Coturnix japonica: one gene and its partners. The protein of the gene in region 4 purifies or fractionates together with the protein of the main gene of each other region. This does not show direct contact. Links are inferred from orthologs where the notes say so. Each region holds a gene or a part of one and is shown on either strand. Other genes may lie near its edges.

Evidence for each region.
Region 1: the proteins of TSSC4 (region 4) and EAPP purify together in Homo sapiens (affinity purification with mass spectrometry; 3 studies listed by BioGRID and IntAct, counting the BioPlex papers as one, with this or other methods). This does not show direct contact. The link is inferred for Coturnix japonica from reciprocal best matches to the Homo sapiens genes TSSC4 and EAPP.
Region 2: the proteins of TSSC4 (region 4) and PRPF6 purify together in Homo sapiens (affinity purification with mass spectrometry; 3 studies listed by BioGRID and IntAct, counting the BioPlex papers as one, with this or other methods). This does not show direct contact. The link is inferred for Coturnix japonica from reciprocal best matches to the Homo sapiens genes TSSC4 and PRPF6.
Region 3: the proteins of TSSC4 (region 4) and ECD purify together in Homo sapiens (affinity purification with mass spectrometry; 3 studies listed by BioGRID and IntAct, counting the BioPlex papers as one, with this or other methods). This does not show direct contact. The link is inferred for Coturnix japonica from reciprocal best matches to the Homo sapiens genes TSSC4 and ECD.

Annotation. Positions count from the first base shown.
Region 1 is NC_029520.1:32,514,957-32,520,691, forward strand, and holds the start of EAPP (E2F-associated phosphoprotein), read right to left. Parts: upstream 4,275-5,735; 5' UTR 4,215-4,274; coding exon 4,141-4,214; intron 3,210-4,140; coding exon 3,028-3,209; intron 2,219-3,027; coding exon 2,120-2,218; intron 1,765-2,119; coding exon 1,641-1,764; intron 939-1,640; coding exon 819-938; intron 1-818. UniProt on the Homo sapiens protein: May play an important role in the fine-tuning of both major E2F1 activities, the regulation of the cell-cycle and the induction of apoptosis. Promotes S-phase entry, and inhibits p14(ARP) expression.
Region 2 is NC_029535.1:8,473,848-8,479,083, forward strand, and holds part of PRPF6 (pre-mRNA-processing factor 6), read right to left. Parts: intron 5,054-5,236; coding exon 4,931-5,053; intron 4,323-4,930; coding exon 4,201-4,322; intron 3,106-4,200; coding exon 2,967-3,105; intron 1,978-2,966; coding exon 1,858-1,977; intron 1,167-1,857; coding exon 990-1,166; intron 129-989; coding exon 1-128. UniProt on the Homo sapiens protein: Involved in pre-mRNA splicing as component of the U4/U6-U5 tri-snRNP complex, one of the building blocks of the spliceosome.
Region 3 is NC_029521.1:4,228,310-4,233,326, reverse strand, and holds the end of ECD (protein ecdysoneless homolog), read left to right. Parts: intron 1-139; coding exon 140-317; intron 318-662; coding exon 663-730; intron 731-852; coding exon 853-1,073; intron 1,074-1,592; coding exon 1,593-1,823; 3' UTR 1,824-3,947; downstream 3,948-5,017. UniProt on the Homo sapiens protein: Regulator of p53/TP53 stability and function. Inhibits MDM2-mediated degradation of p53/TP53 possibly by cooperating in part with TXNIP. May be involved transcriptional regulation. In vitro has intrinsic transactivation activity enhanced by EP300.
Region 4 is NC_029520.1:10,938,317-10,944,221, forward strand, and holds the start of TSSC4 (protein TSSC4), read left to right. Parts: upstream 1-1,876; 5' UTR 1,877-2,543; intron 2,544-2,555; exon of another isoform or gene 2,556-2,645; coding exon of another isoform or gene 2,646-2,663; intron 2,664-2,744; coding exon of another isoform or gene 2,745-2,869; intron 2,870-2,889; exon of another isoform or gene 2,890-2,908; intron 2,909-3,431; exon of another isoform or gene 3,432-3,511; intron 3,512-3,693; coding exon of another isoform or gene 3,694-3,766; intron 3,767-4,701; coding exon of another isoform or gene 4,702-4,779; 5' UTR 4,780-4,789; coding exon 4,790-5,812; 3' UTR 5,813-5,905. UniProt on the Homo sapiens protein: Protein associated with the U5 snRNP, during its maturation and its post-splicing recycling and which is required for spliceosomal tri-snRNP complex assembly in the nucleus.

The DNA of each region.
Region 1 (5,735 bases), about 22 Mb from region 4:
GGGAATTTCATTTTCAATCAGCAAAAGTACTCAATAAATTAGAAGCAGTTTATTCCTCACTTCACAGAATTTCTTTCTCCTTTATTCAAAATACAAAGGCTCATCTTCTGCCCACGCTAGCAGTAGTAATTAGGGTTGTAGTGCAGTGAAACTCTGGAGAATAGCAAAACATGCTATGAATTCACACCTAAATGCTTTCCAGGTTCTACTTAACATAATTATATTCAAAAACACAACTGCTAATACTCAAACCAAGAAATGATGTACTGTCTTGACTTTGCTTAACCCTCTCCTAAAAGACACATTAACATGAAAATAATAACTACACTGAAATAACTCTTCCTCTAACCATGAAGCCAACGTAATTAGAAAAAAGTATACATCATAGAATCATACAATGGCCTGGGCTGAAAGGGACCATAATGATCATGTAGTTTCAACCCCTCTGCAATATGCAGGGTCACCAACCACTAGACCAGGCTGCCCAGAGCCACATCCAGCCTGGCCCTGAATGCCTCCAGAGATGAGGCATCCACAACATCCAAAATGAACTTCTAGTTTAGTCTCATTTTTTAAACATATTCCTTTATCCACTATGCTGAAGTTCTTCCTTGTTCTTCATCTCCATGGCGCAGGTTAAAATGATCATCACCATTCTTTTAAACTGGCATTCACATACACACCTGATTCACATATAGCCACCTTCCCTTTGTAAGCTCCACCGTGCAAGACAGAATTAATCAAATTGTTGAACATGCTAAAACTGCAAATGACTGAAAGAGAGACACTACAGAAAGACCTTATTGTTCATTAATTACCTCTGACAGTCCAGGCATAAAGTTGTCATGCAAGCAGGACAATTCAAAACAGCATCACTGTTTGGAACTGATGAAGGTTTTGTCTGTTGAGGCTGCAACATTCTTCTTTGATTACGGTACCTACCAAATGAAGGATATGGAGGATAAAAAAAGTGAAATTACACATCCTTGCTCATCAATTTAACCTTCAAATATTTTTTAAATTAAAATACATTGGTAAATATCTGTCTCCTTCACAACAACTCTTCTCTAACTAAATCTACCTAAATATAAGCACTATGGGAAAAAAACACACACATGAATTTTTCCATTTCATTTGTATGGAGGATTTTCATCCTGAGATAAGTATGTGGATTTGTGCCCAACAATCATTTTCCTGGAGAAGACAAGTATTTCAAGAACAGTCTCTCTAAGTAACATACATTGATGTGCTTTTCAACAGATTTATGTCTCTCTTCTGCTGCAGCAACCATTTTTCACCCTTCAAAGAAACCTAAAGTAAAGCAGTTTTGAGCTATTCCTATTACAAGTATTTCATCAACATCACAGTTATTTTGATAAGATCTATAGACAAAACAAACTTAGTGAACTAGGAAGTTTTGATTTTGAAAAACTGCATATTTTAGCATTTTGTCACTTTAAAGAGTCTATTTCCATTCCATATATGCAACAATTTTACAAGTTTTTAAATTCCCTGTGCTGTAAATTCTAAGGCACTAAGTGAACACAACAGCAAAGGGTTTTTCTATATATTCACCATGTTCACAGGAATTTTGCAGTTTATCGTAAGCATCCTACCTCCTATTATTTACAGTCTCTTACCTCCTCCTCTGTGAGTCTACCCACTCTTGGTCTCGACTGTCTTCTTCCGGGTCATACAGCAGCTCATCATTGGTAGGAATCCGACGTTGCTGATGCTTTCTTTTTTTCAGGACATCTTGCATAACTGTAGAGATTTGGGCATGCACAGGTTCCATCAGACAGACATACAATGATTCTCTACTCAACTAATCAAAAAATAATCTTTCCAATTTTCATTTTCAATACCTGCAATAAATGTAAATTAATTCATAAATATCTAGCTTTTCTCTCCTCTGTATAGACCACCCCAAAGTTTTAAAACACCTTACATACATTAGGATACATCACAAAGTTGCTAGAACTTTGCTGAAATGATACAGGCTGGTAACTGCCCCCAAAAGTCCCTCTTCAGCAATAGCCTCTGATGCCCTGAGAGGATTCTACTGTATCTGAGATACAGCACTAATATGAAGATGCTGCCTTCTCCCTCAGACCCTTACCAGTTTTGTCTTCATCTTCTGAATCAGAATCAAAGTAAATGTCATCATAGTATTTTGAAGTGGTGGCAGATCCAGCCTCTCCAGCGCTTGAAGAAGTACCTGCATTAAATTGAAGAGGGAAGTGGTAAGAACATCTCACCAAAAGGATAACATGCATATAGCCCAGTACAAACCATCATTTCCAAGCTGCCCTACTCAAGAGCCCCCCAGTACATCTGTGTGTATTAAGCTGCAGCTCTCCCAGTTTGTTCCCATGTCCCAATCAACTATGTTACTTGTGTGATTTCATTTACAGGTAAAAGAAATACAAGTTCTTCAAATGCCAGAGCAATCTACAGCACCCAAAACAGCATACGAAGTCCAGAATGGATAAATCCTTTACACAGTTTCACTACTTCATGTAACTTATAGTTATGAGCACTTAGGGGATTAATATTTTTCTTGACTCTTTTCCCCGCCTGATTTGCAATCTTAACCCACCACATGCCATTACTTTCAGCAAGAACGTGCTCCAAATGTTGATAGTGTCCTGAGCCATTGGACAAAGAGACTGCAAACTGCGTGAATGGCTTCCAAATACACACGTGAAAATCACTTACAACATAAGTTACAGAGACACCGGGGAAAAAAGAGGGCTGATCATTCAACAAGAAATCAAAGAGAAACAGGAAATTAGAGGTTCAGAAACAACATAACCAAAAAACTTAGAATGGATGAAACAAGTGCTCTCAAGGTACCCAAGTACCCATTTCTGCAGGACGGAAGAGCCATTTTAAGACTTCTCCACAGGTCTCAGCACCTCACTGCTACCACAAATCCCCCCTCAGTTGTAAGAACACTTCAACTCCTTAATTGGACACCGCTTAACCCTCAGTTTAACAGGCAAGCAGGTGTTAAGAATGATTTACCCATTTCTGGTGATTTCCACGTGCCTTCTATGTTCCTCACGGTGGTGTCGAGCTCTGCCTCCATCTCCTTCTGGAACTCATCATCGCTGGAAGATTCACTCTCCCCAGTCAGGCACTCCCGTAACAGCTTCCGCTTCTGGTCAGGAGTGCCGTGTAAGAGCACATCCACCTCATCTTCAGAGCTACAAACATTGAAACATCACACGCCTAATTATTACCAACAGCTCGCTACACAAGCTAATCAACAATCACCACCTGAGCTGTGTGGAAATACCGAGAAGCACTTATCTGTGTACTTATGTGAAACCCACTGGTTTTAATGCAAAGGAGCAGCGCACACACACACACACACAATCACACAGAATGACCCGGGTTGGAAGGGACCTCAAGGATCATGTAGTTCCAACCCCCCTGCCTGGCAGGGCCACCAAACACACACCTTTACTAGATCAGGTTGCCCAGGGCCCCGTCCAACCTGGTCTTGAACACCTCCAAGGACAGGGCATCAACAACCTCCCTGGGCAGCCTGTTCCAGGGCCTAACCACTCTCCTAGTGAAGAACTTCCCCCTAACATCCAACTTAAATCTTCCCTCTTTTAACTTAAAACCATTTCCCCTAGTCCTGCTATTATCAGCCCTTTAGAAGAGTTTACTCCCCTCCTGGGAGTAAGTTCCCTTCAGGTATTGAAAGGCTGCAATGAGGTCACCCCACAACCTTCTCTTCTCCAGGCTGAACAAGCCCAGCTCCCTCAGCCTGTCCTCATAGGGGAGGTGCTCCAGCCCCCTGATCATCTTCCTGTTCCTCCTCTGGACCCTTTCCAAAATCTCCAATCTTTTTTGTACTGAGGGCTCCACACCTGGACACAGTACTCCAGATGGGGCCTCACAAGAGCAGAGTAGAGAGGGACAATCACCTCCCTATCCCTGCTGACCACCCCTCTCCTGATGGAGCCCAGGATCCCATTTGCCTTCCGGGCTGCCAGAGCGCACTCGTAGCAGACAGACCCTTCCCACCATCAGCGGCCTCCTCCGTGACCGGCAGCACGAGGCAGACCAAACCCTGCAGCAGAGGGAAGCGGCGGCCCCCAGCCCGCCCCGGGAGCCGGCCGGCACCTGCTGAGCGCTCGCTCCTCGTCGCTGGGCTCCTCCACCACGTACGGATCATCCTCCTCCCGCAGGCGGCTCATGGCCGCTCAGCTCCCGGCACTTCTTCCGGCGGAAGCAGCACGGCGCAGGCCCAACTCCGCCCCCCGGAAGGGGACACGTTCCCCCCCCGACCGAGCACCGCCCCGCTGTGATGCCCCGAGCAGGGATCGGGCTGAAGGTTGAAGAGACAGACCCAATACCAAGAGGATTGAAAAAATTTAATGAGCTACTAACACTGAACAACGAGGACTAGTCTAAAAACTGTTTCCCACAGTCCTACTTAAAATATTTACAATTGTGGTAACTGTATATACATTGTAGTCTTTGTCCCTTATAGTCTATTTATAGATGAGTTCCTTAGGAATTACACCTTTGTATTTGGAAGATGAACAGCACAGTATTAGTGTGGTTGCCATTAATAGAAAATAGTATATACACGATGTGAGTTGCTAATAGCCACTGGGCACCAATAACCAGAAGTCTGAGGCTGTGCCTATGCAACTCAATGCAAAGAGCATGTGAAGCTGAGGAACCCCTGTCTTAGAAGCATTCCATGTGCAGTGCTGTGCTTTACTACACTGTGCAATTCACCCTATTGGAAAATAAACCTAGCCCTCCATGCAGCAGTACTGGAGAGTGTAATTACAGAGACTGACACTGACATTGGTCAGCATCTCCAATCAAAAAATGCCATTCACTGGAATTCTGCTGCTCTGCTGAAGGGCTACAAACCCATACAAAGCAGCAATCCCCCTGTGATGAATGATTAATCAAGTAAAGCCTAGTTTTACAACATTCTGAGATTATACAAGAGAACAGCAGCTCTTGGAAAGGACGTGCGGTTCAAGGGAGAGACAGAAAGCATTCAACAAACAAGAGACTGTGGATTCAAACAACAAAAGGTGTCCTGAGCTCTAAATCCAGTTAGCAGAAGGAGACACAGTTCAGGCATTCCTTTACTGGGTATGCCTTTACTACTTGTTTTCTGAAGCAAAGCTTCTCTTTTGTATAGAAGTGGGGCAGTATTACCTTTTTCTACTGAACACCCTTCTGCCAGTTTACTTTCCCCTTCTGGAAAGAAACCAGCTACTTCCCTTAAAAAACATTTCCACCAAAGAAAATGACAAGTCAGCCACTAAGGTGAAAACTATGCTGGATAGGAAAGTCACAAACAGAGGCAAATGGATAAACCTGAGAATGCAAGTGAAAAATTACCAGGCTAGTACTTCATGTTAAACCAATCTGGTACCTGTTTTACAGGATGAACAGAGAAAAATCTACTTTATCTGATTTACTAGAAAATATTAAGCTTATAGATGATACAATGTCTGCATAATTTTAGAAAAATCATTGATTTCATGGTTTATTTTACAATAATTGGATTAGTCTACAAGTTAAGGCAAACATACTAATGTATTTGCTTTTCCTTTTAAATCATAGTTATAAAGGTTACACAAAGTTCTTCAAAACTTCTAAGAAATGTTCACAATTGAAAAAAAAAGATTAAGTTTCTTGATATCAGTAAATGGAAAAAAACTAAGACAGTGTGTATACAATGCATT
Region 2 (5,236 bases), on a different chromosome or scaffold from region 4:
TCCGCATTCTTTGGATTCTTTAGGCGAGACTTTTCCAAGATAGCCCTTGCTCTGGTCAACTGTCCCACCTTCTCTTCCAGTCTGGACAGCAAAAGCCACAGAGGGATGGAATGGGGACACTTTTTCAGCTGTTTAATATGATAACAAAAGGTACGGTTACTATGCAGATCTGAAAACATTATAACCCCCATAGAAAAGGAATCCCTTCCTTGAATCTTTCTGAGGAGTTCAGAAGTGAGATAAGTGACCACATCTCTCAGATTTCTCCTAGTTAATCATATAGCACTAAAACAGTAGAAATCTAGTTTCTCCTATAACCAAAACACCAAGAACACCACTATGACTAAACTTCCTCAATGCCAAGCAAAAAGAAAGAATACACCTCCCTTAACAGTACATCTATGACCTGTGCTCCATCTAGAGATGGAGAGCTCTAATAAATAACAAAATCACACCTGCAGAGTACGCAGGAAACGCATTGCCCTTGAAGCTCACAAAGTCATTAGGATACAGACACCGGCAGAAACCTGCTTCCCTATTACTTGCAGGGCAGATGAGTTTCAGGAGCATTCCTACAGGACGCCAATTACCATTTAGAAGACACATGAGTACTCAGCAGACAATCTCCTTTTACAGTGTTTACCTAACCTTATTAGCAGGGTCTTCTGTTAAGAAGTTCTGCTGTTTAGTCGTTGCAGGTCTTAGAGAATTATTGTGTAATGACTTCATTCCTGCTAGTGAGTAGTCAAGCATACAGCAAACTCTCTCAAGCAAGAAAGCGAATTCTGCACACACACACCAGCTAAGAGATAAATTCTCACTGCTTATTTCAACACCCTAATAATTTTCTCTTACTGTTTTAACCAATGACAGGGAGAGAAATCACCTCCACTGTTAATATGGGACAGAGCCCTCTCCATCCTGATTTGAAGACAGACATCTGTCCATATCACAAGCACAAAGCAAGCTTACAATAACATGCATCTTACCCCTTGATTGTAAGCCTCCCTTGCTTTCTCTACCAGCTCCTTTTGTTCCTCGATTTGTCCTTTCATCATCCACAGTTTGGGAAAGTCCTCATAGTGTTTCAGGGCTTCCTCACAAAGCTCCTGTGCCGCAGCAATGTTTCCCAGCACCCATTCCAACTTCACAGACTTCATGAAGACCTGACAAAGAGACGGAGCCGTTTATCACTGGGGAAGAAACAAAAGCAACAAAAACAAGAACTCTGCCAATGCAGTGGGTTCCCATGTCTGTGCATACATTGGGAAGTTATTCATGAGCCTTAGTTTGGAGCAGAAGGCTCCATGACTGACAGGAGAAGAGGACAATCTAAAAGGTCCAAATCTCCACACAGCAAACCAGGTTTTTTCCTCTTACTTGGTCAAATCGAAACGATTCTGTATGCACAGCTAAATATTGACAACATTTATCACAGCAGAAGTAACCGTAGAGATAAACACAAGACTGTAACTTTAAATAAATCCGATGAGCACCGTCTTTAGCACAGCATAATTGAGTCTTCTGCAAAAAATATTTTCACTCTCTCTTCTCCAAGACACGCTTTTATGCAACATGAACATTATACAAACAGCTGTAAACTGGGAATTTCCTGACTTTTGCCATTTGTGTGAAAAAATGTGAAACCCTTCACTTGATCCCAGCCTCTGTTCCCATCATGCTGCAACCGAGTGTTGCAATTTGCTGGAGAAGTGCTACGGTGCCTGCAAAAGGCAATGGCAGGGAGCCATCTGGTCAATCACTTGAGGCCACAGAACTGAAGGAGCTCCTGCTTACGACTCAGCTCCCCCATTGCTATGAGAAGCCTTGGCCTCTCCACCCTTCACACATCCCTACCCTTGCAGTGGGGGCACTGCTGCGAGCTTTTGCCAGCAGCCTCCTCGCTCTTTCATATTCATTGTTTTCCGACTCGAGCTTGACGGCAGCCAGCCAGATCTCCTCGCTGTTGGGGTTGGCCTGCAAGAACACAAAATGACAGACAAATGCATACAGTGAATCAACAGCAGATTTAATCCTTCGTTTGATCCAGATTAAAATTGAAGTCAGAGCTCTGTCAATCCACATTAGGACTTCTTTTCCCATTCAAGCTCCTCCCAAACTTCTTTGACCTTTGAAGTTCATAGAAATTCTACGAAACAGATGCGCAACACAAAGATGTGTTTCAGTTGAAAAGTTGGACGTCTCTCAACTGTTGAAAAGCGTTAATGCTTGATCTCCTGAACTCGCAGTTTAACTACTGCAAAAATCAGAGAGTCTGTCACAGTGAGACCCTCACTTCATTATCTCTGAACAAAAAAGCTGAAGCTCAGATTCCCAGCAGAGAGCTGTGAACAGCACTCCTCCAATACAAGTCATTTTTCAGTAACAATCATGTCAAGAAATCTTCAGAATATTCACAGAAAGAACCAAGGCCAAATTCAGGAGATAAACCTCTTTCACCTCCTCGCTGAGAAGCTGCTGCCATTTATTTTTGCTCCTCAGCTCCTGAGGTCTCAGTCCATGTTAGAGCTGTATCACTCTGCCCATCTTCCAGTATCCAGTGGACAGTTCCATTCACTTTGTTTTAGATCAGGGTATTTGGTCCAAACCAAAGGTAAAACAGCAGCCTCACTAATTAGGGCAGATCACTACCCTGTCAACTGCTCATAGCAAGCACAGGGCAATGCAGATCTGTGGCTGGGTGTGGTAGAAGCAATGGTACTAAAAGTAATGATCTGTGAACTCACAGCTCCGCGTGATAACACTAAAAGAGCAGTAATGCATTCTTGCTTCCAGCTTGCTAATATGTTACAGGAGAACATTTTTGACAAATAAAACTATCAAAGAACAGAGGAAATCTCCTCATATCAAAAGGTGGCAGAAATCAGATGAGCGCTGACAGAAAAAAGCTTCACCATACTCTTTAATTCACATTTACCACCACGACACAAACCTAACATACCCACCTGGAAAGCCAGGGCCAAGATGCTTCTGGCTGCTGGCACATCTCCTGCCAGCCACTTCGATTTGGCTCCCATGAGCCACAGCACTTCTGCTTTGGGACAGTGAGCAACAGCTCTCTGCAAAAGAGCCTCCAAGGATTCTCTGAGACAAGAAAGAGCAAGTTACAATCACCCGAAGCGCTGCCAAAGGCGAGCTCTCACATTCAACTTCCACTATCACTCAATGCTATAAATATTGTTGCAAAGTCCAACGCTGTAAACCTTGATAAGTTGTTTCATAACAAGGAAAGGGTGGGGTCTTTTTTCCACAAGGGTTCTGAAATCAGTGCTCCACAAACGGCTCATTGTTCAGACACCTTTGTTTGATGGCTGCTGAGACACCATGCGTATAAACAGCTCATTTGTCTTGGAAAGAGCCAGTCTTCTAAACAAACCTCAGCAGAATCCAAGACAGGAAGTTTTTCAGAATTATTAGGTGAAGCTGGCTTGATCTTATTGACATTTTCTTCCTCCTCTGGAAAATGCACTTAAATGTAGAACAAGGGGCTTAAGGACCAGCAGCCACCACTGGGAAACACAGGAGAACACCAAAGGCAAAGACACACTTGTTCCAAAAGCACAAATTCTGTCTCCACATTCACTTCCACACAACAGCCACATTTAGCTTTAGCAAGACTAACTCCCTCTGCATATGAAGTTGACTATACAGACTGCTTGCTTTATTATAAACTTTGTAGAGGAAGGTTCAGATGCATGGAGCTTCATGAATAAACACCAAAATAAGAGGCTCAAGCTGTGACAGTGTAATATTCATTCATAATTTGACATTATGAGAAAATGCCAGAGCTGTTCAGACTCAGTACTGAAGTAGTTTATCTACACAAGTTAAACAAAACACTTGCTGCATTTCTTGGTGATGTCATTCTGTATTCCCTATTTTTTTCTAGGAATGCTTTCTCAAAGATGACCATCCTTACCTCAGTTATTCATAGCTACTTCCATTACTTATTACTTAATCTCTTTTCCTAAAGCACTCTTTAGGACCTCACAAAGAAAATAATCTGATCGCAGCAAAGGTCAGACCCTGCAAACAATGCCACTGAGCTTTCACCAACTAATTCTGTCTGTGGAACAATACACTTTATTGCTGACCTTGTAGCTCTTCTGCCTTCCCAATCTATCACACTGCACTGAGAAGGAACAGCACCTTCATCTGAGGATGATGCAGTGCACGTACCTTGTTCCATGGTTCTTTTCAAAGTACGCTGCTCTCAGCCACACACTCTTCTTGCTTGGGAAGACTTGCAAGGCATAGGCATAAATTGCTCGGGCACACTCCAGAGCATTGTGAGCAACACACTAAGGAAAAGCAGAGCAGAAGTCAGATTAAATTTGCAGTGAAATCAAGGGCAAGACAGGACAACACGTGTGTAATTCAACACAGAACTCAGAAGCTTACTACATGAATTGGGACATTATACTTTGATATCAGCTTTATAAAAGGAAGCACAGAGAAACACTCCAGTTGTCTCTTTCAGTGCTCAAGTATCATGCCAAAATATAACTTAGTTTGTGGCACATATTTAAACTACTCCCCACATACAAAGAAAACGTGGTAAAACTTTCACACACTCCCTGCTCAATCCTACATCACCTCTTCAACGTTTACACCTTGAAACTCAACTCTTAATTTGCTGAACAAGACCTTAATCTTTGTTGACAGCCCATAAATAAACAAAGAAATCAGCAAACCATCTATTCAGAGTCACCAACTTCCTGCTTAATGAAAATTCAAGTATGAAAAAAGCTCTCCAATACCATAACCCCAAGAGGGGGGCCGGCCAAATGCAGGCAGATGCTGCGCACATCGCATCCACTTTCAGTGATTAAAACAAGTCTTACTTTCCTGGCTCCAGTTCCCCTTCCCCCAGTGTGGAAACAAAACACAGCATCACAGCTGGACATACACTGTCTGCATCTTCCATCCAGGTATGTTTCCGATCTTCTTCTTCAATCCCAATTCCAATCACAGCTCGCATGATTGCCTGGCATGTGGCCACGCTTCCAGCTTTATCACACTCCTCAGCATCCTGGGGACAAGAACAAAAGCTGCTCATTTTGAGACACCAGCACCGTAAGTTAGATTCTGCAACAGCAACTGCTCCCTGGACCCACTGCAAGCGATATCAGTAGTAAAGTGGCTTAAAGGATTTATGTTTAAACACAGCATCTGTAGATATTCAGGAGGAAACCTGAACATCAAACCACTTATT
Region 3 (5,017 bases), on a different chromosome or scaffold from region 4:
TTATCAAGTATCATCTTGAAAACTTAATCGTGCAAATAGTGAGCTACAGAATGTTAGCAGTGCTCGCAGCCATCTACACTGGGCCTTGTGGGCTGATGGACCGGTGCTCTGATAGCAAATATGTCCTGAATTCTTACAGATGACAGTTGGCTGGAGATTTCTCCGGATGCTCTGGATCAGATGCTGAAGGAGGCAACAGTTGAATCCCACCCTTCCTCAAATGAAGAAGAGCAGAAATATGACTTGGAAGCAGTTGCTGAAAGTATGAAGGCTTTCGTGTCCAAAGTCTCAACGCACAAAGGGGCGGAAGTGCCATGGTACTGGTATTTTCTTTTCAGTTTGGTGCCTGGTGTGGAATGTGATTTCATTCACTTACAGCCCTTTCACCGATTCTGTGATCTTTCAAAGTCGGAAGATGTTCTCTTTAGCAGAGCCCTGAAGCAAACACCTGTATTAGTAGTGACTAGCTTTTAAACTGGCTTGGTCACTCACCACTCAGATGCTCTGGTGCAGATAAAAGTGGTGGGAGATGCTTTATGTTCCAAAGCTCCTTACTTGGTTTTGTGGGCTGTTTTGTTTAGCAGCATGGCAGCCAGTCCGTGCCTGTGTTAGGCCTGTGCAAGCAGAGGACCTTTGTTTATTGAATACATTTCTTATTTCAGGTCATCTGATGAAACCAATGTTACCTTCGATGTAGATTCTTTCACAAAGGCGTTAGACAGAATTTTAGGTGAGACTGCTTGCTTCTTTTGTCAGAGTACCTCATTTTTATTTAGTGTCTCTGGGTTTTCTGATGATCCACGTGCGCTGTGCTGATTTCCTTGCTGTCTGTGCTTATGTGAAAATACACAGGGGCAGACTCAGAAGAGCTGGATTCTGATGATCTGGATGAAGAGGAGGAGTTTGACTTCTCAGATGAGGATGAAGATGACCTGGATGCTGAAAATCGAAGGGAAGACGACGAGGTATCAGCTCATGAACTTATAGGCAGTCTTAAGTCATATATGGATGAAATGGACCGTGAGCTGGCACAAACCAACGTTGGAAAAAGTTTTACCACTCAGAAGAAAGGGGTGAGTATGCCTTGAATACCAGTTTGTGGCATAATCATTTGAGAGCTTTGTTGGGAAAGAAGGAGTCTGCTACAAGAAGTCATTGTGAGTAACATGATGAGCAATTTCTGTCCTCCAGCCTTGTGCTGATTACCAAGAAAAATAATCCTATGGGCAAATCGCACCACGGTATCTTGGAAGCAAAACTTAGCTCAGCTTTAATGTACACATTGATTCCAAGACTTGGTTTCAGGTCCCTGCAAGCTGCAGTTTGAGTTCTTGAGTTTCCATCATCAATCAGTCCCATGGGACACTGAGGCAGGACTCACTAACCCTCTGTGCATGTCATCCATATAATGGAAAGTGATGATTTTTAACTGGCATGGGTATTTGGTGACCACATTCCTGTCTCTCAAGGCAGATGAGAACACACTGAACTTTGTTGGTGACAGAACTGCCTTCTTCATTTCTTATGTTTTAATTCTTCCTTTTTTGTATATGATTTGTCTTGATGGAACCTTCTCCTTGTGCTTACTGCAGGCAAGTTCCGCTAAAGCAACAACATTGCAAAATACTGGCCTTGACTCTGAAGAGGAAGATGCTCAGTTGACACCAGTTGATGTGGATATGAACCTAGTAACTAATCTGCTTGAATCTTACAGCGCTCAGGCTGGACTGGCAGGACACACCTCTAACATTTTACAGAGCATGGGGGTGTATTTACCTGAAAATACAGATCGTGCCAGTTCTGGTGAGGGTGCAGCAGAATGAGAGACTGTCTTAATTCAGAAGACATGACTGACTGGGAAAAGAGACATGGGAAGAGCAGCAGCATTTGGAAGGAGAGACAAGATCTGCATTTAAAGCACACTATACATGTGTTTTGTGTGGCTTCAAAGACGTAAAGGGAATTTACCTGGAAGCGGAAGGACAGCGCTCTCTTGTTTGGATTTGGGAATGCTGATCCAATGCTCATCAGCCATTTTAATTTCCACAAGTACCAGTGCTGCTTTGGAAGAACTTTTGATAATTGCTATATTTGGTTTTGTTTTGTTTTGTTTTGTTTACTAATTAGGAGTATTTGATGACGAGTAACCTGATAGAATCTGTAAATATTGCTATATTTTGTGAATTCATTTAAAATAAAACCAGAAGCACAACGTGATTGCTGGAGCTGCTTTGTTGCTTTGAAGGCATGCATAACTCCTGTAGCAAAGCAATGCAAGTTCTCGAAGTTGAAGCATTTTCACAGGGGCCTATTTTGGGTTTTATTAGGACTGAGCATCGGTTGTGTGCCATCAGCAGCTGATGAATCCATCCCTATTCTAGTAACAGCTGTCTCTCAAAGTTTATTTCACCTACAAGGTTCTGTTTGTCCTCTGGAGTGAGTAAGTTGTATTTGCACTTAAAGGAGCTACAAGCCAGTGCAATTTTGGATTAATTTCTGGTCAAGTTACCTGGAGCCAGGTTGACCTTCACAACCTACTTGTCAGGTATGGGCTGATGCTCTATGGAGAGCCTCCTTTGAGTCTCTGTATAGTTCCTGCATTTCTTCATGGCTAGTGATGATGGAGTTTACAGGAAAGGAAATACAGCAGTTGGTTACAAATGCCAAATGCTTTAGTTGGTGTCCATTCTGATGTGTCTTTACAAGTCTTAATGTCAAGAGGGAGACTGCCTAACGCTTTGTGACATTCAAGGCTATTGAAGGGTTTTCATACTAGCAACCTGTAAAGCAAAATAGTCCTAATCAGCTGTTGGTTTAGGAAAAAACCCTTTTGTATTTGTTATTTGAGGGCCATAGCAATAAAGAATGCATTAAAATGTGTTCAGCTTGTGGGATGAGCACAGCAGTTGTTTGCATGCAGAGGCTGTGAGAGTATCTTGAGAACATAGATGGCACTACATGCTCAGAAACAGGCAGCTGAGTGTGTTCATGTGTTTATCTAGGATGAGAGCAGGGAGCGAGAGAAAAGCACGTGGTAATTGGGGTGTTGTGAAAACATCCCCTGTTAACCATTTCTTAGTTCTGATGGTTCCAAGGAAGTCAGGGGTCACAAACGAACAGTGACATCTGAGCACCAACACATGTGGGATGTGCTCTGTTTTCTCCTAGGGTAAAGCGACTTAAATTATCCTCTGGCTTATAGCAGGTTATCTGTCATACCTGAGTTCAGATTTGTCATGTTTCTTACTCTCAGTTCTTCCTTTGTGTCATCCTGTGCCTTCTGAATATGGAATAGATGTGCTTTTTCACAAGTTTTGGATGATTATGAAGCAGTTTAAATCCTGATAATGTGATAGAGACATCTGCTACCTACTGAGCTTCCAGTTTCAACTGCAGCATATTTTATCCTTGTTTATAGCTTGAAGGAAAAAGACTCAGTTCAGTAGACATGATTAGTTAAGGGTTAATTGTCATAATACGGAATAGCAAAACTAATGGAACCTATACCTGCTGTACCTTGCTGTCTTAGGCTTGAAGTCCTTGTTATAAATTTCTCAAGCCTTTATTTCAGTGCTGCATAGAAAAGACTGTGTGGACATGCAGTGTTCTCAGTCCACTCCTTAGTATGTTCTTACATGCTTTTAATATGTTAAAAATGGCTTTCTTGCCTTGTTGGTGGTGAAGATAAGCCATCCACCCCTCCCGAAGCTATTTAATATGTAGTAGAAAGAAGCCTCTGCATTGTGTTCTTGTTAAGCTTCTAAACAGCAACTAATACAGGCTCTTAAGTTATTTTATGATGCTGCTATGCCTGCTGATTCATTCTGAACTTCCATTAATATGTGTGTTACTGTCTGTCTAACCCTAGTGTTTTTGAAAATCAGCTAATATTTCTTCTTTTTCTGTGTAATACCCACCTGTGCACAATACAGTTTATGTTGTTTTATTGACTGGACCTTGGTTATTTAAGTGGCTGCCTCTTCTACTAACGTTGTCCTGTTTTCTACTGGGTTAATTAAAACTTCTTTGCAGTTTGAGCCACTGCAAGAATATAATTAAATACCAGTGTTGAAATTAGTATTCAGACCGGAGATTTCCAAGTCTATTATACTTTAGAGTGTCACAATGAGAACATGCTTTGAAATAACTTATATGTCACTTAATGCAGAGCCTTGAGGTGTTCTGTAGTGGCCCTTCTTTTCCTTATTTCCTAAAGGAGGAAGTCCCCTGCTCAACTAGTGACCTGATTTGGTAACTCTCTATGACGTTACTGAGTGTCAGACTGCTTCAGTTGCTTCATTCTTCATTTCCTGTGGACTATGGGAAGAAGAAGGTGGGCCATCTGTTTTTGTGTCATATTAAGTTCCACTCAGAAACTCTGTGGGGCTGGAAAGTCGCTTATCATGATCAAGAGTACAGTGTGTTAATATAACATATGTTATAATAACATTATACATACCACAGCCAACAGTAGGGGGGATAAATGGCTGATATAGAACCTGTTTGGATGAGTTTCACAGGCTCCCAGTTGAATTACATTCACAAATGCTTAAATATGTCAGCTAATGTATTTGTTTTCTCTTACTGGGCGCTTAAGCTGTGCAGGTATAGGTGGGGTAATATTTTTTCAGGAGTATAACAGGCTAGAGCTAACACTGCCTCTCAAACATTATCAGACCTATAAAGCACTTGCAGAAGAAAAGGAATAAATGCATATGGTATTTTTTTATAGAGTTGAGGTTCATCTGAAGGTCCAGCTGTAGGAGAGGAAAACAGCGGGGAAAAAAAGAATTAGAAACTGCATGGTTTAGCAACAGTGTGTAAAAAAGCAAGTTTAAAACCAAGGAATGCCTAGAAGAAATAACAAAACTGAAGAATTTAAGTGCTTATTTCTTCAGGTGCACATATTCCTCATGTTGCCAAAAATACAATGGAAGTATTTGAGAGACTGCCTTTCCAAAACCCCCATCAATTCAGAGAACCTTAAAGAATCAAGCTCTGAACATGCAGGAAATAG
Region 4 (5,905 bases):
AGGGCAGAAGCTCAGCAGGAGGCAGATACACAAAGATGCACTCTGGTGGTGCAAACATTTCAGCTGACCTCTAGCAGATTGCCTGATGCAGGCAGCTCGCTGCTTCCATTTCAGAGCCCAGGGAACTGGAGAAGAAAGAAAACACAACTCAGCTGCCAAAAATGCTGGAAAGCCCACATCTTCCCACATGCAGATACATTATAGTGGGTATATAGCTGCAGCAGTTAGGCATAGGCAGGTGGACTTCCTGACATTTCTCTGCTGGGATTCAGGAGCCCCTCTAGTCTGATGGTTACAAGTAACATTTCTTGTTACAGTTTAATCACTTTTTACTTTCTTTCTTTCTAAGTGTTTCTTGGCCCTGTTTTGCTAGGGAATCCGCTCATGTTCAAACAGAGCACCCAAAATGTGGTGGTGCGAGGCCAGGCAAATCCTGTCTTACACATGCAGTGTCCCTAACAGAAAACAACTGCAGGTTCTCCCTACAGGTTGGCAGTAACTTTGTCATTGGGAAGAGTCAGGTTGATACCTGTCTTCATTAAATATATTCCCTCCACATGAGTTGATTTTTTCATTGCTCACTTAGCAGGATGAAAACTCCAATGTGAGTACACAGCACTGGAATAAGTCAAACCTGCTTGCATGTGAGCCAGAGCCAAAAGAAAGCATAAAGTAAAACAGGTAAGCAAAAACTGATGTAGGAGAAAGGCAGTGTTAAGCACCAAATCCTGGAAACATCCCACTGGGTTTCAAGGATATTTATAGGCTTTCCTTCTTGTAAATGGGAGAGGTCAGGTGATTATTTCCCCCAGCCTTTACTCATTCTGGCTCGGTGCAACTGCAGTCTTCCAGCAGAGGAGGATGTGCTGTGCAACGCTGTGCTTGAGATTTTTACCTACAGGAAAATGCTCCTTTCCTTCCCTACTTCCCCTCATGAACTCTGGCATCAAGCTGAGCATGGCCATACCAGACTCATGTCCACAGTTGTTCTGGGCGCATGAGATGGAGAAAATACATTGGATCGCTGTGCTTGGCCTTCAGTATCACAGTGGCTGCCGGGGAATTGCCTGCCAGTTTCCTACAGCCATGAAGAGAAGGACAGGCAGCCTCTCCCAGGCTCCAAGTGCAGAAGCCTTCAGTGCATAGGCTGGGGCTGGAGCCTGCCAATTGAGCAGCGGAAACAGTCACCGGATAGGGGCCAACAGCAGATTTATGTGCAAGAAAGGAACACAAGGCTCCCAGCAGCAGGGCTGAACGGAGACGCACTGCTCCCTGCAGAGGCACAGGGCAATCTCTGCACAAGAGCTAAGCCTGCCCCAGGCATAGTGTACTTGTTTGGAAGATGTCCTGTGATGGCACACAGAGCCATGTCGAGTCCCGCACCCCTCTTCAAGCCATCTTAGTTCACGCTGGCTAGGGCTAGGCTTTACCATCTGTTCTTCTTTAGGATCTGACTCATTATTTTTATTTCAGCTGTCACCAAGCAATAGCAAAAATCCCAACACAACAGCACATTCACCATCGTGAATTGCCTTGTCTGCAGTCAGCAAAGAACAGCTCATCCCCAGTTCTCTGCAGTGTGTGAGACTCACCTTCTGCACAGCGACAGGAAAGGAGTAAAAGGATACAGACAGCTGATGTAGTAACCTTAGCCATCAGCTGCATCCTGACAAAGAAAAGCCCAACCCCAGATCCATGGCTTATGCTGCTTGCCTCCACCCTTACAAAAATAGGGCATGACCACGCTTAATGCACATCCTTTCCCTGCCTGCTGCTGGTATGCCCAGACAGCATTATGCAGCAGGCTCAGCCCTCAGCCACTGTCTGTGTCTCCCCTGCCCATTGCCTGTCTTTGCCTGTGACTCCTGTTTCTGCTCACACGCCAAAGGACCCTGCTTTCCTCTCTCTTCCCTCCAGACAGGAATCCATCTGCCTGTGTCTCCGCTGTACATGTATATATGTTTAAGGAAAGGCTTACCAAATGGGGAAACACCTCTAGAGCCTCTGCTTTAGAACTTAAAGCTTTTAGCTGAAGAAGGGGGAAAAGAACCAGATGGCCTCAGCCAACACCAATAAAACATGTTCCGACAGAATTCCACATCTTGACACATGAACAAAAAAATGTTCTTTTGGGACAGAGGATGGAAACTTGCTTTTGGCCGGACACTTGTCTCACACCCCAGTGACTGAAGGCTTTCTGGTTATAAAGTACATGCAAATAAAAACTCCACGCTTCCTCTGAACCGCTCGCTGCTGCCAAGCCCAAGAGATGAGGAAAAAACCAACGCCTGACTTGTTTTTTCCACGCGGTTTGGATGAGGAGGGGCCACCCCCGACAGCTTCACAGTCTGCAAAATGGAGGGCGAGCTCCTGGGAGCTGTAGTCCGGCCGCGTCGCTCTCAAAATGGCCCCCAACGGGGAAAGCGCAGACAACTACAACTCTCAGGATGCAAAGCGAGGTGACGCTAACGGGAAGCAGGGTTGTACTTCTGCTTCCTGCACTTCCCCACCTCCACCTTCCTCCGGGCTTGCGCGGCTTTGGGGTATGGGGCGTTTATTCGGTGCTGGGTGTGAGCGGGGAGGGGGGGGGATCCCGGTCCGGGGAGCTGGGTCCTAGGTTGGCAAGGAATGCGGTATATGGGCCCATGGTGCAGGGTGCGGCGGTGGGTTGTGTCGTAGTGCTGTCTGTGCGATGAGAATGGGGTCGAGATTTGGGGTGACGGAGCTCTGTGTTTGCCTCCCAGCTGCAGGAGGGTGAGCAGAGCCAGCAGAGCAAGGCCAGGATGGGAGAGGCTGATGGAGAACGTGGCAGCCAGAGAGACACGGGCCTGTGTGTGCTGTGCAGTGCCCACGTTGCTGTAATGAACGTGTGAGTTTGTCTGGTGTGTTGTCAGCATCTGCGTGTTTGGTATTAACACTGTTAAATTATTCTTCCAGTAGCAACGTTTTCCCTTTCTGTACAAATGCTCTTAGCAAAGAGGTGCCCTCATTCATAGCCTGAAACATCTGTTTTGCTCAGCCCTGCTTTTTGGTGTTTCTTTTGAGTTGCACTCGTTTCTTTCATGTGTTATAAAACTAAAGAGAAAGGTGCAGGATCTTCAAATGATTATTTTGCATTTGGGGGTTGCACTAGAGGCCACGTTTCAAAAGCAACGGTGTCAAAACACAGCCAGACTACACAGAACACAGCATTCAGGCCATTCAGTTCTTTGCAAGCTTCTCCACATACTAATTCCTCATGCAGATCTGTCCCCAGTGGTGAATACAACCTTTCTTTGCAGGCATCTCTGTGGTGTCCTGGGTCTCTTTCCTATTGGCATGTAGTACCTGCAGTGCATATCTGGTACCTTCTTGGCTGCAGTTAACACAGTACATTTACTAATAGTTTACTGCATGTGTAAATTACAGCTTTGTTTTGTTTTTTTTTAAAGCCTCTCTTCTGTTGTAGAGAATAAGACTTGGCTTTGTGAATGTGGAGACTGAGTAACTGTGGTGGAGCCTGTCCTATTAGGTTTGTGCTGTTCTTTTGCTAGTATTCAGGATTATCTGAAGACTTTTTTATGCAAGCTTGAGCTTGTGTCAGATTTAGAACTCTGCTCTGTAGCTTTGGGTGACTCAGGGAGAAAGAATTATTTTCAAAACTCTTTTTAAAACTACATTTCCAGTATCTTGATGGAAATGTTTGTTTTCTAGGGTGGAAGTGCTGAGATCTTTGGTGGCTTTAACTGACCCTCAGGAGGGGAAGCTGACTCAGTCTCAGGAGAAAGTGAGTGACCAGCACACTTTCCATGTCTGTTTACTGCGGCTTTTCAGAAGAACCTATAATTGTGTAGTTTAACTTAACCTAATAGTAAATGAGAACACTTTCCCTAATTCACGTTTTGGAGAGCTGAACTGAAGTGTATTTTTGCCAAGTCTATTTTTGACTGCCCAACAAGCAGTGGTGTTTCAGCCTGTACTGTACTGGAACTCAGGGTTCAGGTCACTGTGTCTTTTGATTGACCAAATGGGCAGCTCTTGCTGACCATTGCTTGCACCCTCCCCTTGTTTCCAGTGTGCTCACACAAGCATGGCATATGCAATTATTTTTCATAATCTGTCTCAATTCATTTCTCACGCTCACTTATCATGTGATTGCAACTATCTAGTAATAACGTAAAAGCTTAAAGCCAAGGAAGGAGTGCACCTTGTACTTTGTCAGTTTAAAGCTGACACAGAACTGTAGCTCTGAGACATTACAGGCTGTTCTGACACATTCCTTGATCAGCAGCAGGGCCCTTTTTAATACGTAGAATATGATTGGGGACGGATGTGAATTGGCAATGAAGAATTGCAACAGACAAAAGAGATTAGGATTTGTTTTTATGGATTTATATGGTATGGGTAAATGAACGGTGTACTTTGGAGAGTCACTGCTGTTCTTGGAAGAAGATATGTGGAACAGTTATATTCAAAAAACTTATGCTCATCATTTAGCAATTGGTCTTGCTGTTACCTTCAGTGAAATTCAGTGCATCACTATTTATAATTACTTTGCATTCTTGTACTGAATTTTGTGGAAGTCTTTAATATTAATGTGCATCTGTTCCACAGCAATGTACTGTGATATAGCAGTAATCATTATCAGGCCTGTCCCAGAGTGATGGTCATACGTGTGATTTTCATTGCGCAGTTGAATTTTCATGCTCTTTTATATTGTAGGCATTAAAGCTGCTGGACATTTGGAAAACCGTATTTACAGCCATTCCTGGGCCTGCGTTAAGGACCTCAGTGGAGTGATAGCTCAAAGATGGGAGATCAGGATGATGCTGAACCCTTCCTGGGCACCAGGACTGCCACTGCAGCAGACTACGAAGGAGCTCAGCCCTCTGACGCAGTGTCGCTCAGCGATTCTGATTCCGATGATTTGGGATTAGCAGATGAAGCAGAAGTTGATACAATATCTCCTGAGGATCCATCTGTAGATGATGGGGATTACAGACCAGGGGACACTGCTGACCCATCAGAAAGCAGCGAGAGGTCTCCTGTTCAGCCATTCCTTCTGAGGGGCATGAGTTCTACATTCTCTCTCCGCAGCCAGAGTATTTTTGATTGCTTGGAGGAGGCAGCAAAATTGTCTGTTCCCTCAATGTCTGAAGATAATGTTGTTGATGGGAGGTTTAAACGTCCCTTACCTCCAACTACCATGTCAAGTAATGTAATACCAGAAAGCCTTGGAAAGCCAACCAGACCAGTGCAGTCTCCCAGAATGTCTCCAGCAGTGCCTGACTATGTGGCACACCCAGAGCGCTGGACCAAATACAGCCTAGAGGGAGTGTCAGAGTCTAGTGACAAGACTAACAGGGCAGTGGCTATGGAATTTCTAGAAGGCTTGAAGAAAAGAGGGGAGGAACAAAGCTCAGCTGCCCAAGACAGCTACACCCCATATTTCAACCAGGATCCTTCCAGCTGTGGAGCTGGGAGGATTGTATTCACCAAACCTTCAAAAAGGGGTGTTGATGGAATAGAAAAGAAAATATCGACAGGAGAGGGTGATAAGAAACAAATCAAAACAGATCTGAAAGGAAAATCTGTAAAGACTGATGACATGAGGGAGGAAGATAAGGTAGAGCTGGGACACTTAGGTGGTGCTGATAGAAAGGCAACAGAGGAGGAGGGATGCCTGATGGTGGAGAACGTGAATATGGAAAATGAGCATGGTGTGGGTGAAGAGCCATTGGCAGAAAAAGTTGGATTCCATTGCAGCAAGAAGAGAAATAGAAAAAATTTCCGACCTAAAATAGATGACGAGGGAGAGGAGGAAGAGTCTTGAGTGATGGAACGAATCGGAAACATGCAAGAATTTCTATAATCTTGTTTTGTTATGTTTTTGGTTTTTTTGTCAGGGACCCATGTGATACCATTT